Linked DNA regions of Macaca mulatta. Each later gene encodes a partner of the first gene's protein in a complex. Links are inferred from orthologs where the notes say so. Each region holds a gene or a part of one and is shown in the gene's direction. Other genes may lie near its edges.

What was found.
Region 2: the proteins of KCNMA1 (region 1) and LRRC26 are in contact, whole or in part, in a cryo-EM structure (PDB 7YNZ), measured with the Homo sapiens proteins. The link is inferred for Macaca mulatta from reciprocal best matches to the Homo sapiens genes KCNMA1 and LRRC26. Residues at the interface, in NP_001154824.1 of Homo sapiens: Pro78, Cys79, Asp80, Ser81, Arg82, Gln84, Trp88, Ala92, Ser93, Val96, Thr97, Glu155, Trp158, Met159, Ser161, Val162, Trp165, Cys206, Leu226, Leu227, Phe229, Gly230, Leu231, Phe233, Ile234, Asp251, Phe252, Pro256, Phe259, Val260; in NP_001013675.1 of Homo sapiens: Gly204, Cys205, Gly206, Cys207, Ala208, Arg236, Leu237, Ala249, Phe250, His252, Cys253, Ala254, Gln255, Leu257, Arg260, Asp261, Leu262, Val264, Val265, Tyr266, Leu268, Gly269, Pro270, Ser272, Phe273, Ser276, Leu277, Cys280, Leu281, Leu283.

What each region holds. Positions count from the first base shown.
Region 1 is NC_133414.1:72,747,180-72,754,456, forward strand, and holds the end of KCNMA1 (calcium-activated potassium channel subunit alpha-1), read left to right. Parts: intron 1-1,466; coding exon 1,467-1,661; intron 1,662-3,609; coding exon 3,610-3,728; intron 3,729-5,635; coding exon 5,636-5,885; downstream 5,886-7,277. UniProt on the Homo sapiens protein: Potassium channel activated by both membrane depolarization or increase in cytosolic Ca(2+) that mediates export of K(+). It is also activated by the concentration of cytosolic Mg(2+).
Region 2 is NC_133420.1:5,281,479-5,287,776, forward strand, and holds LRRC26 (leucine-rich repeat-containing protein 26), read left to right. Parts: upstream 1-3,296; 5' UTR 3,297-4,241; coding exon 4,242-4,914; intron 4,915-4,999; coding exon 5,000-5,334; 3' UTR 5,335-5,430; downstream 5,431-6,298. Other genes in the region: TMEM210 (transmembrane protein 210), read left to right, coding at 2,256-2,343, 2,508-2,643, 2,841-2,870, 3,107-3,296. UniProt on the Homo sapiens protein: Auxiliary protein of the large-conductance, voltage and calcium-activated potassium channel (BK alpha). Required for the conversion of BK alpha channels from a high-voltage to a low-voltage activated channel type in non-excitable cells.

The sequences.
Region 1 (7,277 bases):
ATTTTACAGATCACGAAAGGAGGCACAAAAATGTTAAATAACTTTCAAGGTCACACAGCTTCTGAAAGATGAAGTTAGCATAAAACCCTCAGCCCAACTCTGGATCCCTGGTTCCCATAACCTCTCCAGCAACATATCCTACTTTAAGTATCCTTTTCCTGCATCTGTGCCTATGGGCATCTCTTAACCCTGAGCATAAATTTCCTTTAGGGTCTGGCAGGCTATGAGTAACATTCCTAGTTTCTTTTGCAGTTGGAATTTTGTATCACATTGGGGTGTTTTTGTAAGTATTTCAGTAAGGAATGTGAATCCAGCCCCACTAGCAACTATCATCTTAATTCAGAAGTCCTCATGGAATTCTGTGAATATAAATTTGGTTTTAGTGACTGCACTTATTTTACAGATGAGAAAAATCAGAGCCCAGAATGACTAGGCAACCTCTAAGACATAGAACTAGTTAGCAAACCTGGGATGGGAACTTGAGCTCACCCTTACTTGGTTTGTTCCCTGCTATGCCTTGCCAGGTAAACTCTCTAATAAGTTGCTGAGGTACAATTGCATCTTTCCTTACCTCTTTCCAAAGTACATCCTCAAAAGCCACAGGCAAACTTTGATTTGAGTTTTTAGGCTGCTTGATTTCTACTTACATAGGAAAATGGAATGCACACCCTTACCTGAGAATTTCTCAAATTAGGCTGGTGACAAATACCTTTTAAAGCTCCTTTACTTGACATCCTATTAATTTTTTTTAAACTCCCATTGTTTTGTTCCTGACAGATCTGTTATGTTTCAGATGTGACACAAATGTACACTTAGGGGGAAACTTCTTTAATAAGTGATATTTGCCTCAGACTACTGAGGTTATTTTAGAAAACAAAAGCCAAAGTACACTTACCAGGACATTCACCTTGTCATAAATTTATCTGGCATATTTAATTGATCGAGATTTCTGGGTTAGACAGTTATCAACGCATGTGATAAATTGTTGAGCATGCGGCATTAATGAAAGGTTTTGCCATTGTCATGGGGAGGAAGCTTCCTGGCACATGGGTGACAGGACCTCAGAGACAATGCCGCTTGGGTTAGCAGCTGGGGCAGGCTGCATTTTATTACATGTGTCCAGAGTCTCATAGTAGACATGTAGACTTGAGGAGGGGGAGGCAATATTTGTATCCCTACTAAAACCAATTATGGTAAACACTAATTATTCAGATTTGAGCTCTTTACTAAAAATCCCCTGAACTGGGTTTTTTAAGTCAGGCTGTCATGGCAGAGCCAAGCAGGAGAGAAAATAATGGAATAATTGGAGGCTGCTGTCTTTTCACTTCCCACATAAAATTATTTGAAGAGACAGGCCAGAACTTTAAACAGGAGATACCAAGAAAAGTTGTAATTTGGATGTCGGCTGTCATGACTTTAGGGTGTTTGCTTAAAGGACTTTCCCCCCACTTTCTCTTCTTCCCCAGACATACTTCAATGACAATATCCTCACCCTGATACGGACCCTGGTGACCGGAGGAGCCACACCGGAGCTGGAAGCTCTGATTGCTGAGGAGAACGCCCTTAGAGGTGGCTACAGCACCCCGCAGACACTGGCCAATAGGGACCGCTGCCGCGTGGCCCAGTTAGCTCTGCTCGATGGGCCATTTGCAGACTTAGGGGTGAGTCCGCAGCACCATGGTCACCTGAGCTTGCTGTTTGGGAAAAGCTTGATCCTGAAGAACGTGGTGTCAGATGTGACAAGCAAGGCATCTGTCTTTTCTCCTTCCTATTGTAGATAATTGTAAGAGGTGATATTTATGGTTTACTCTGTATCAGGCACTTCGTTCTATGCATAAGTCATTCATTTTAATCTTCATAGCAACCCTTTGATGTAAGTTCTAGTATCACACCTTCTAAGTCAACTGAGGCTCAGAGAGAATGAGCACTGGACCTATTGGGAATTTGCACCAAGGCATCCTGGCTTCAGAGCCTGTGGGCTTTCTCACTCCTTGGTGTTCTCTTCACGTATCCTCTGCACGAGGTGGAAGGCAGCAGGTGATTCCAGCATGCAGCCAAGGTTGGGAAATATTTCCACAGGCTCTTAGCATAGCTTAGGGATACTCAACCCAACTATACATTAGTAGCACATGGAGGTGGCCAGCCTCATCCTTCAGGTTTCTTAGATTTTATATGTGAGTATGACCCAGGCACTGGTGGTTTTCAAAGCACCAGGGTAGTCAGTAGTCAGATGTATCCAGAACCACCAGCCAAACAAACAGAATCTCATGTGGATCCTTTAATGCCTGTAATTCAAAACCTAGACCTTGTAATTTCTGAGACTGGACCCAGTCACGTTCCCTCGGGTCCTCCCTGTGACAGAAGTGGCCAGCATCTCCCTTCTGATTCCATGCGCCTGCCTAGCGTAGGCACTGTGACAGAAGTGTAGTGTCTTTGCCCTTATTCCCAGCTCAACCCCACAGATGCATTTAAGAGATGCAGCCATATTGATAGAAACTGATAAACCTGTTACGCAAACAATAGTGTTGCCCAGAAAGACTAAATAGTGGAAAAGGAGCCAAGGAAAGGGTCTGTCTCTGTTTTTTCTGAAACAATTCTGCATACTTGCCCCATATTTTAGTTTGATCATGGGCTGGGACTTATGTGAGACTAGGCTTTTTTTGAAAGGGAAGTTTCATAGCTAGTGGCTCTTTATACGTATCATTTACTTACTGATGCACTTGATTAGGATGAAGACTTTAGATAATGGTAAGCTTTGGTCCCATCTGTGTTCTTTAGTATGAGACCAATATGAGAATTCCAGTGATTGGAAGGACGAAGACAGTCATTTTATTCCCAGTGAAGCCATCCCGCAGTGCCCAGTGCCCTTCATGTAATACTGTTAACATCTACCTGAAGCCACCTGGCTGCTGAAGCCAGCATTTCCAAGTGGATGCATTTGCTTTCACTTTCTGCATCAGGCCCCAGACCCTGGGAAGGTGGCTGTGAATTGATCAGAACTGCGAATCCCAGTTATTCAGCCTGCAGGCCCCTGGCTCCTGGGGAAACACATTCTCTTCCACCCTTGCCATCTCTGAGGTCTGTAAATTGTGCTTTTCACAGGGTCCTTACCTGAAAGAGTCTGTCACCATAGGACCTGGTGGGGTCCTCCTCCTCGCTGTGGTTTTCATTATCACTCAGGCGGTTTTGACAACACGATCCTATCACAGTGGTTACAGCTGAGCTGGGGCTGAACATCATCACCATTTTGCAGAGAAGGGTTCATCTCCTCAGCTGAGCATGCATCTGAGACCGTCAGGCTTTACACTTTCACTTAAAGTGAGGGAGAAGCATAATCTCCTTAGAGCTTTCAAACCCCATTGCTACAGGTGGAAAACTGGAGAGACACCAGAGGAAAGCCCCATTGTTACCTGATCCCTAAAAATCACACATATTGTCTGTAGTCTGTTAACCATGTGGACTTCTTCCACTGCCGTCCCTTGGCACATGGACCCTCCAACTTGGGAGACACCAAAACAAGCTTTGATGAAAAGACCCTTTTCCCTCCTGGCCCTTGATTTTCAGGCAAATAAAAAGGATGTTTCTCTCTGTTCTGTTGCTGTCTCCCAGGATGGTGGTTGTTATGGTGATCTGTTCTGCAAAGCTCTGAAAACATATAATATGCTTTGTTTTGGAATTTACCGGTTGAGAGATGCCCACCTCAGCACCCCCAGTCAGTGCACAAAGAGGTGAGTATTGGTTTCAACTCTGCCCTCCCACCTAATCACAGAAACAATAATCCCCTACTGTAAAGGCAAAGGTCTGTATACATCTCCCCAACATGCAAATTACCCTGCCCATATTAAATCCGGCACTGAGTTTGGAGGTGATGGGAAGCATTTTTCTATAATTACTAATAGTGGATGTAAAGACATTTTGGTAAGAATTCAAGTTTTGTATTAATAGAATAATTCCATCACCCAATTACAAAAGTCTGAATACAAACATCTCTCCCAAACTCCAGCTACTAGGATAACATCTGTTGGTATCTAATATAGAGATATATCATTTCACATTGCTAGTGTTTATGATAATTTTTTTGTTTTTTGAGATGGAGTCTTGCTCTGTTGCCCAGGCTGGAGTGCAGTGGCGCAATCTTGGCTCACTGCAACCTCTGCCTCCTGGGTTCAAACGATTCTCCTGCCTTAGCCTCCTGAGTAGCTGGGATTACAGGCACACACCACCACACCCAGCTAATTTTTGTGTTTTTAGTAGAGACAAGGCTTCACCACGTTGGCCAGGCTGGTCTCGAACTCCTCACCTCAAGTGATCCACCCACCTCGGCCTCCCAAAGTGCTGGGCTTACAGGTGTGAGTCACCACACCCGGCCCTAAGACAAGTGGTTCTTCTGCCATATCTTAGAATCCTGTATTTTTACTTCATATATTTTAAATTGATTCACTTTTTAACTTTTATATATTTATTTTTGAGACAATTGTATATTATCACCTTAAGCAGAAAAAATAACAGTTTAGATGTGCTAATTATATTTTTCTCATATGCATTAAAATAAATTCATAGCAGGCAAAAATTAAAAGTACATCCTAGAATTACCAAGATCAGTGAGTTTGCATAATATACCCTAGGCAATAGTGCTGCAGAGACAGGCGTTTCTCATCCCTGCTTGCATAGTAGAATCACCTGGGGAGCTTTTAAAAAATATTCTGATTACTCTAATTTAACTTGTCTGGAAGGAAGAAAAAATCATATATATATTTTAAAATATATAACAATTTTATATATAATACCCAGGGATTATTGTGTATAGCCAGAATTGAGAACAATTGCTATAGACCAGTGGGTTCTCAAAATTTAGCCAGCATGATGAGACTCACCTGCAGAGCTTGTTCAACCACAGAACCTATCCTCAGCACTTCCAATTCAGTAGGTCTGGGTGGGGTTGCTTAAGAACTTGTATTTCCTAGTTCGCAGGTGATGCCGAGCTGTGTGGCCTGAGGACCACACTTTGTGATCCACTGCTCTAAGTGAAACAGGGTGATCATCTTAGTCACATCTGCTGTTGACCAAAGAAAGCTCCAACTCATTGTGAAGAACAACAAAGTAGTGCTGATAAGTAGGCAGGGTTCTTAGATTCTTCCACGTGGTGAATTCCAAATTCCAAATTCTCCCACCAAAACAGATTTTAAAAGGTAAAGAGCGAGAATATAGTCTAAGGAGACACTCTGTAATAGTAAGCAAAGATCTTGTGATGTATATCTGGGATTGTCCAAAAATTCTGGAATGAAAGTTGCATCACACTTCATGAAACCTCCTGCGGCTGGGCTACTTGGAAGTGACTTTGACCTTGTATAGAAAGGTACCTGTAGACCACGAGAAGCAAAGTTTGGTCCTTCCATTACTGGCCCTAATTCCACATCTCTGCCTGGGCTCCTGGCTGGCCTCCTTTGTTGAGTTAAACAGAGGAAGTTTCCATTTAACAAGGAAAAGAATGTTTAAGGCCTCGGACCAGCTAGAAGTGCATCTTCCAGATCCTCTGAAAGTCCTGAGTAACCAGGCCATTGCTTTTGGTTCAGGGAGGGTTGAATTCTCTACTCAGTTATTCTCGGGCGGTGACATCTCTGCTTTTCCTGTCCAGGTATGTCATCACCAACCCCCCCTACGAGTTTGAGCTCGTGCCGACGGACCTGATCTTCTGCTTAATGCAGTTTGACCACAACGCCGGCCAGTCCCGGGCCAGCCTGTCCCATTCCTCCCACTCGTCGCAGTCCTCCAGCAAGAAGAGCTCCTCTGTTCACTCCATCCCATCCACGGCAAACCGACAGAACCGGCCCAAGTCCAGGGAGTCCCGGGACAAACAGAAGTACGTGCAGGAAGAGCGGCTTTGATATGTGTATCCACCGCCACTGTGTGAAACTGTATCTGCCACTCATTTCCCCAGTTGGTGTTTCCAACAAAGTAACTTTCCCTGTTTTCCCCTGTAGTCCCCCCCTCTTTTTTTTACACATATTTGCATATGTATGATAGTGTGCATGTGGTTGTCATTTTTATTTCACCACCATAAAACCCTTGAGCACAACAGCAAATAAGCAGACGGACCAAAAGTTATTTATGATTCTAGGGGAAAAATAACCCAAAGGCATGCTCCAGACATAAATAGCTCACTGCAGGAACGAGTTCACAGATTAGAAGGGAGCCCTTGTGATCAATGTCAGTTAGGCAGAGCAAGTTTATTTAATGTAAAAGAAAAGCTGATTCTGATTTATCAGGATTATCAGGGTGCTTTGGGTTTTGATTTTGTTGTTGTTGTTGTTGTTTTCCTTTCTTTCTTTTTTTATACACACAATAAGTTAGTACATGTTTATTTGAAACAAGCAACCAGACAGCAATGAAAACATATCGATTGTTTCCAGTCTCTGGGCCGAAGTATTGCGAAGCCTTTGAAAAGCTTTCACAATTTGTGTAGATGATTTTGAAGGACTTGCTTGTTGCAAGAGAACATCAGAGATTTTTTTTAGTTACTCACCAACGCCTTTTGTCCCAGAGCCAGTTCCCTCTGGGAGTTCTTATGAACATTTCTCACCTTAATGTGGAGGAAAGAATAGTATTCCAATCATGGATGTATCAAATTCTAGTCATTTAGTTTAAGTGAAAAGAGGTTTGATTGCATATTAAATTGTTATTCTGTCTCCTTATGTTGCCATATGAATAGCTAGTTTTTTTCTTTCACTTTTGACATTTGGGATGAAAAGCCATATGTATCATAAATATCAGATGTAAGTCATTAAAAACTGCCTTCCTGGGACTTTCACATCTTTTAAAAGGTGAATTACTTACCTTATGTACAGAATAAATAATGCTCAGGAAAGAGCAAGTATTTTTCCATGTATCCTCAGGGGATCCTTTTACTCCCCTTTGTTTGATTAGTTAGGGCCCCAATGCCAGGTAGGAGGAAGGGCTGGGGCAGAGTGAGAGGAAGACAAACCCAGCTGCAGATCATGTTTTTCTAGGAGCTGACATGCTAAATAAATTAGAATGTAGGAGGATCAGCCACAGTTGACTCAACAAAGACAAAAGACAGCCACCACCTTCAACTGTTGGTGCAGCTGCACGGTGCTGGCTGTCCCAATGAAGGAAGCTGGTGGGAAAGAATTCCTCATCATCACTTTAGTTAATGTAGCCAATTTAGGCAGGGTAATGACGACAATAGAGAGCTGCTCCTTGTCATTATGAGACGTGGGATGAGAAGAGTGCAACAGTGAGCCAAACACGTTTTGGTA
Region 2 (6,298 bases), on another chromosome or scaffold:
TCTTGGCCAACACACCTCATCTCCGGCAGCAAAGCTCTGCTCAAAGCTATGCCCTGGTGGCCAGAGGGACTGGGCACTTGTCCCCTGCTCCACACTTGGGCAGGGTGGCCGCAGAGCTTGGCCTCACAGGTGTGCCTCGGAAAGGCAGGTCGCCCCCATGTCCCCCACATGTGTGGTCATGCGTGTGCAGGCTGCCCAAGGCCTGTCCCAGAGGCTGGCACTGGGAGAGGGAGACGCCACAAAGCTGAACAAGGGCCCTAGGGTCCAGCTCTGGGCTCTTCTGCTGCTAAAATCTGGGCCTCTCTCCCAGAGGTGCCATTTCCAGGCCAGACATGTTCCACCCCGATGGTGCCGTCCTCCCGGGGGACAAAGGCCCTTTGAACCGGCGCCTCGAGTCCCGCTCCTGCTGCAGCACCTTCCCAGGCTGTGTGCTGCGCCTGGCTTCAGTGCTCCCGCTGCTGTCCCCAGATACCTTTGCTGGTTCCCACATGTCCACTGTCCTGGGCTCCTGCAGCCGCCGCCCAGCACCCTCCCACCTCTCCAGATCTGGCCTGTTTGAGCCGTCCTGCTCCGTGGACATGCCTGCACCCTCCTGACTCTGGAGAACTCTGTTTGCCTCGGGGCTTGAAGGAGGAAGTGGTTGGGATTAGGCAGGTGTCAGATGCACAGCCTCTGGCCATCAGGCCTCTGCCCCGCCAAGGAGGGCTGCTTCCGCCCATGTTATATCTCCCTTCCAGCCCTGGGCCCTGCCACCTGCTCCACTTCACTCCAAGGCTGGCTGTGCTGCTGTCACACAGAGGGACCCCTCTCCTGAATTCTGGTGTGGGGGGTCCCGATTGCTCTGATGCCCACTGTTTCCCCTCAGGCGGTGGCCTTGCCTGGATCCCGCTGACCATGGCCACCACCTGGCCCCAGGCTGGGTGTGCCATTGTCCTAAGCAGGATACAAACCTGTTGGGCTGGCCTGTCCGGTGTCACTGCCAGCCTGGCTCTGGCACACCTTTTGTTCTGTGTCTGTGGATTCCATCCCTGGATGTGTCCTGAAGACAAGGGTAAAAGGTGCATGTCAGGTCACGGTGTCACTCAGCAAGTCAGAGGTCCGAGGACCTCAGCAGGAGGGTGTCTGTCAACAGGCAAGGGGGTCCCTGGTGACCAGGTCCATTGGGGCCAGGCTGTGCCCACCCCGCCCCTCTGCGCCCCATGGGTCCTGAGCTGGCAGGAGGCCTGGCCTTGGTTGGCTGTGGGGCAGGTGTTTCCTTCTGCTGCCTGGCGGTTTGCTTGGCAGGTTCAGAGGAGGGGAAGCCGGGAGGGCAGGGGCCTCTCTCCCAGCCTGGAACAGCAGGTTCAGGAAGGAGGCTGGAATTAACCCTGGCCATGCTGGCCTGTGGTCGACTTCCTTGGGCAACACTTGCCTTTTCTGCAGAGGAAACAGCCCCTGGGGCTCCAACTTCAGTGACGCCTTTAGTCTGGAGCCTTGGATGGCGGATGTCCGGGAGGCAAGGCTTGGGGTCCTGCTCAGATGGGGTGGCCAGTGTACCCCAGACCTTTCCAGGTTGATGGGGGATTCCCTTATGTGCCAGCAGCCCTTCTGACCTGAGCTTTGCCAGGGCATGAGCCAGACCCTCCCAGAAGCAGTGGTGAGGGAGGCTGAGTGCAAGCCCACCTGCTTAGCCCTCCTTGGCTCCTTCCTGCCCCGGCCCTGGAGGAAGGTGACCTGCAGCCAGCTGGGGCTCAGCCCACACGCTGAGCTGCCGCAGTCCTTATGCTGGGAGGGAGCTGAGGCCGAGGCTGCCTACCGCCCACCCCCCAAGGTTGCCAGGCCACTGCACCCACATCAGAGCCTGGAGTGCCGCCCACCCCCTTTCACTGTGAAGGACTTGGCCGGGCGTGGTGGCTCACACCTATAATCCCAGCACTTTGGGAGGCCAAGGCGGGCAGATCATGAGTTCAGGAGATCGAGACCATCCTGGCGAACACGGTGAAACCACTGTGAAGGACTGCCCGTAAGACCAGGCCAGCCCCATTGCTGCCTCTGCCTCAGAACTGGCCTGAGCTGGCCATTCTCTCAGGCCTCTGTCCACCCTACCTGTCCCATTCCCAGGGCTGCTTTTGTCAGTGGCTCCCTGAATCGCGGTGCCCAAGGGCAAATGACACACTGGCACCGTGAGGCCCCCCACCCCCACCTCACAGTCCCACTGTGAAGTCAGCGCCTTCCAATAGTTCCGTCAGAGGTGTGCAGTGGGGCCAGGGCTGGACATGGCCCCTGGTCCCCAGCCTGCGTCCTGCCTGCGTGGCGGCCCCTTGGGCCTCACATGTTTGTCTCTTCTGCTCATCCCTGCTGCAGGTGCCTCCTCCTGCCCCCTCACCCTGCTCCCAGCCAGGGCTCCCCTTTCCCAGGCAAGGCGGGAGCTCTGGTGTCCTTCTGGTGGCCACCAGGGCAGGGGCAGACCTGGAGGCCCTCCACAGGCAGGTGACCGGCCCCATGGCTATGTGGCCCTGTCTCTGCAGCTGGAACCTACTGTGAATGCAGCCTTGGCCTCAGCCGCGAAGCCCTCATCGCCCTCCTTGTGGTGCTGGCGGGCGTCAGTGCCAGCTGCTTCTGTGCCCTTGTCATCGTGGCAGTTGGTGTCTTGCGGGCCAAGGGGTGCGTGAACCCCGGGGCCGGGAGTGGATGGGAGTGAGGCCAGGCTGCCTGCCCTGGGCCCTCGGTCTTGCAAGAGGGGCCTTTACCCCTGGGTGGGCTGTCACCTGGGGTAGGAATGGTGTTTCCTAGGCGTGTGTTGGGGGAGGTTCGGGGGCCCAGCACTGTTCCAGGACTCATGTCGGTCTTCATCCCCTCAGTGAAACATGCCCGAGACTAGTGGACAACAGGTGAGCACCAGGGAGGCCCTCGAGGGGGGTGCGCTGTCTCAAGGGAGGTCCTGGGGTGGGGTGTGCTGTCTTAGGGGAGGCCCTTGGCGCAGGAAGCTATCCCAAGGGAGTCCCTGGAGGAGGAGGGGTGCTGTCCCAGGGGAGGCCCTTTGTGGGACTGCGCTGTCCCAGACACTGGCCTGCCCTGGAGGATCAGGACTCCACCAGCTTGTGCTGACCCGGCCCCTGTCATGCAGGTTGATGGAGAATTTTGGGGTCCAGGAAAATCGCATGGACCTGCACCCGGTATATGTGGAGTCCCAGCTAATGGACGCTGACCTGGAGGTCTCCATGATGCCGCCACTAGAGGATCAGAGCCTTGTGGCCATTCCCATGGAGGCTTCTCCAGAGGAGCCGCCGCCACCCCCGCCCCTACCACCTGAGTAGGGCTGAGGGCAGCTGGGGGAGGGGAATTAAAGTGTATTTAGTGATTGTGTACTGTCCTCCCTGCAGGCTCTCACACCCCTCAAGGCTGCATCATGGGGGGTGCACACGCATATGGGTCTCATCAAAGCAGGGCACCCAGGCCCCACACCAGGTTCCCCTGTTCCTCTGCCCCAGGGCAGGAAACCAAACCCATAATGTTTCCACCTTCTCTACCACAGCTGGTCAGCCTGGCTCCTCCCTACACCCTGCTTTGGAAAGCCCCTAGAACAGGACCTGAAACTGGCAACTCCGAAGGGCGCTGGGTTTAACAGGAGGACTTGGGCTGATACCGCTGCCCCACTGCACTGGTCTGTTTTTCTGACGGTCCAGGAGAGTCCTAGGGGGAGGGGTGGGGCAGGCACACCTCTCCTGCCTGGGGTGTGCTGTCTCCCTCCATCCCAAAGCCTGTCTCCAACCCAGGCCCCATCCACCATGGGAACGGGACCATCCCTGCGTGGGGGCCACTCCGCGTGTGCACGTTGGCATCACTTTGCTGAGCCTGGGTGGGGTCGAGACGGGTGAGGAGTAGGACCTCTGGGTTGCATTGCGTGCGGGAGCCTGTCGCAGCCGTGAGCTGGGTGGGTGCAGGTGGGCGGTGTCCTGCTGCTCAGGGCTCGGCGGGCGCCCGGTGGTGGACAAGGCGGGGCGAGGTGGTCTTGATAGCGCTGTGGCCGGCGCTAAGCCAAGAGTAGTTTGGAGCTCCGGGACAGGTGGCTGGCGGTGCCGGGCGTTGGCTGTTTGCCTTGCCTCCGCCCCAAGCGTGGATCCAGCCGTGGGACAGGAACTGTCTGCGCTCGGGCCAGAGTTAATATTTGTTCAGGCGCCGCAGGAACGGGCTCCGCGGACGACGCGCTCCGGGGACACGCAGGCAGCGGGCCTCTCACCGCGGGTGCCGGGGCTGCCCCCATGCGGAGCCCTTCTTGGTCGCGGCCTCGGCCGTTGCTGCTGCTGCTGCTGCTGCTGTCGCCTTGGCCTGTCTGGGCCCAGGTGTCGGCCACAGCCTCGCCCTCGGGGTCCCCGGGCGCCCCGGAGTGCCCCGAGGTGTGCACGTGCGTGCCGGGCGGCCTGGCCAGCTGCTCCGCACTCTCGCTGCCCGCCGTGCCCGCAGGCCTGAGCCTGCGCCTGCGCGCGCTGCTGCTGGACCATAACTGCGTCCGCGCGCTGCCGCCCGGTGCCTTCGCGGGAGCGGGCGGGCTACAGCGCCTGGACCTGCGCGAGAATGGGCTACGCTCGGTGCACGGGCGAGCCTTCTGGGGCCTGGGCGCGCTGCAGCTGCTGGACCTGAGCGCCAACCAGCTGGAAGCGCTGGCACCAGGGACCTTCGCGCCGCTGCGCGCGCTGCGCAACCTCTCACTGGCCGGCAACCGACTGGCGAGCTTGGAGCCGGCGGCGCTAGGCGCGCTCCCGCTGCTGCGCTCGCTCAGCCTGCAGGACAACGAGCTGGCGGCACTCGCGCCGGGGCTGCTGGGCCGCCTGCCCGCCCTAGACGCGCTGCACCTGCGCGGCAACCCCTGGGGCTGCGGGTGCGCGCTGCGCCCGCTCTGCGCCTGGCTGCGCAGGCACCCACTGCCCGCGTCAGGTGAGCTGTTAGGGATGCGGGTTGGGGTCTGCAGGGCGGTGCGGCCGCTGCCGCCTGATGCCACGCCCTTGTCTGTGTCCCACAGAGGCCGAGACGCTGCTCTGCGTGTGGCCGGGACGCCTGACGCTCAGCCCCCTGACTGCCTTTTCCGACGCCGCGTTTAGCCATTGCGCGCAGCCGCTCGCCCTGCGGGACCTGGCCGTGGTCTACGCGCTCGGGCCGGCCTCCTTCCTCGTCAGCCTGGCCGCCTGCCTGGTGCTAGGCTCCGGGCTCACCGCCTGCCGTGCGCGCCGCCGCCGCCGCTGCCGCACCGCCGCCCTCCGCCCGCCGAGACCGCCGGACCGGAACCCTGATCCCGACCCCCACGGCTCTGCCTCGCCTGCGGACCCGGGGAGCCCCTCCGCTGCCGCCCAAGCCTGAGCGACCGCGGCAGCCTGGAGCGCTCGAAGCTTCCCCCATGCCTTTGCCCTCCCTTTACACTCTCTGCCGGGGTCAACAAGCGACACAGACCGAAAACTGCGTGACATTCCTTTAGGCATCACCACTGCATACACCGGGAGGTGGGGGGTGGGCGATGTGCGCCTGCACCCTGGGGACTGAGGGGCAGAGCGCGGCTGCGCACGGGCCGCACGGGGAAGGCACGCGCTCGGGCCCTGGGAGTGCTGGTCCTGTACAAGGTGGCGGGCCGGTCACGCACCCGGAGCGAGGGCGGGGGCGGGCGGGTGGCGCTCTCCCGTGCCCAAGGTGCAGGGCGGGGTTGAAGACAGTCCCGAGCCAGCGTCCGGGAAGGCCCGTTCTGGGCTGCAGGCCGGACGAGGAGAGGAGGGGCTCAGCCCTCTCGAGTCTGGAGGAGGCGGCCCGAGGCGGCGGGAGCCCGAACGCCTCTGGGAGGCGCTGCCAGCTGGGAAGTCAGGGACGGCCATGGGGGAGGGCAGGGCCAGCCCCGGCGTGTGGGGTCAAGGGGCAGACGGGGTGTGGGTGGGCGGTGCCGCAAGAAGAGGGGAGGGTGGAGCTCAGGCTGCAGAGGAGCGCAGGCGCCCGAGGAAGGGCGACCCAGCCAGCTGGGGCCATGGGCCCCACTGTGGCTCTGGCTAGTGCTGCGGGAAGGATGGGGCTGCCGTCTCTGCTCCAAGCGCCTCCGCCTGAGGCCAGTTAGCCCCCGCTCCCCACTGCTCAGAGACCCCAGGGCCCTGCCTCTGCCGGAGCGCCCTGCGGCCCTGCCCAGCCGACTCAGCTCTGCCCCGTCCTCAGCCGCTCCGGTCCGCACCTTGGTCCAGCAGGGGCTGCCCGCCAGGCAGCGGGGCGGGCGGGCGGACGGACGGGAGGCCCAGGCTGGGCAGTCTCTGGGGCGGGTGGGCTTCCCTCAGGCCTTCCCGAGCAGCAG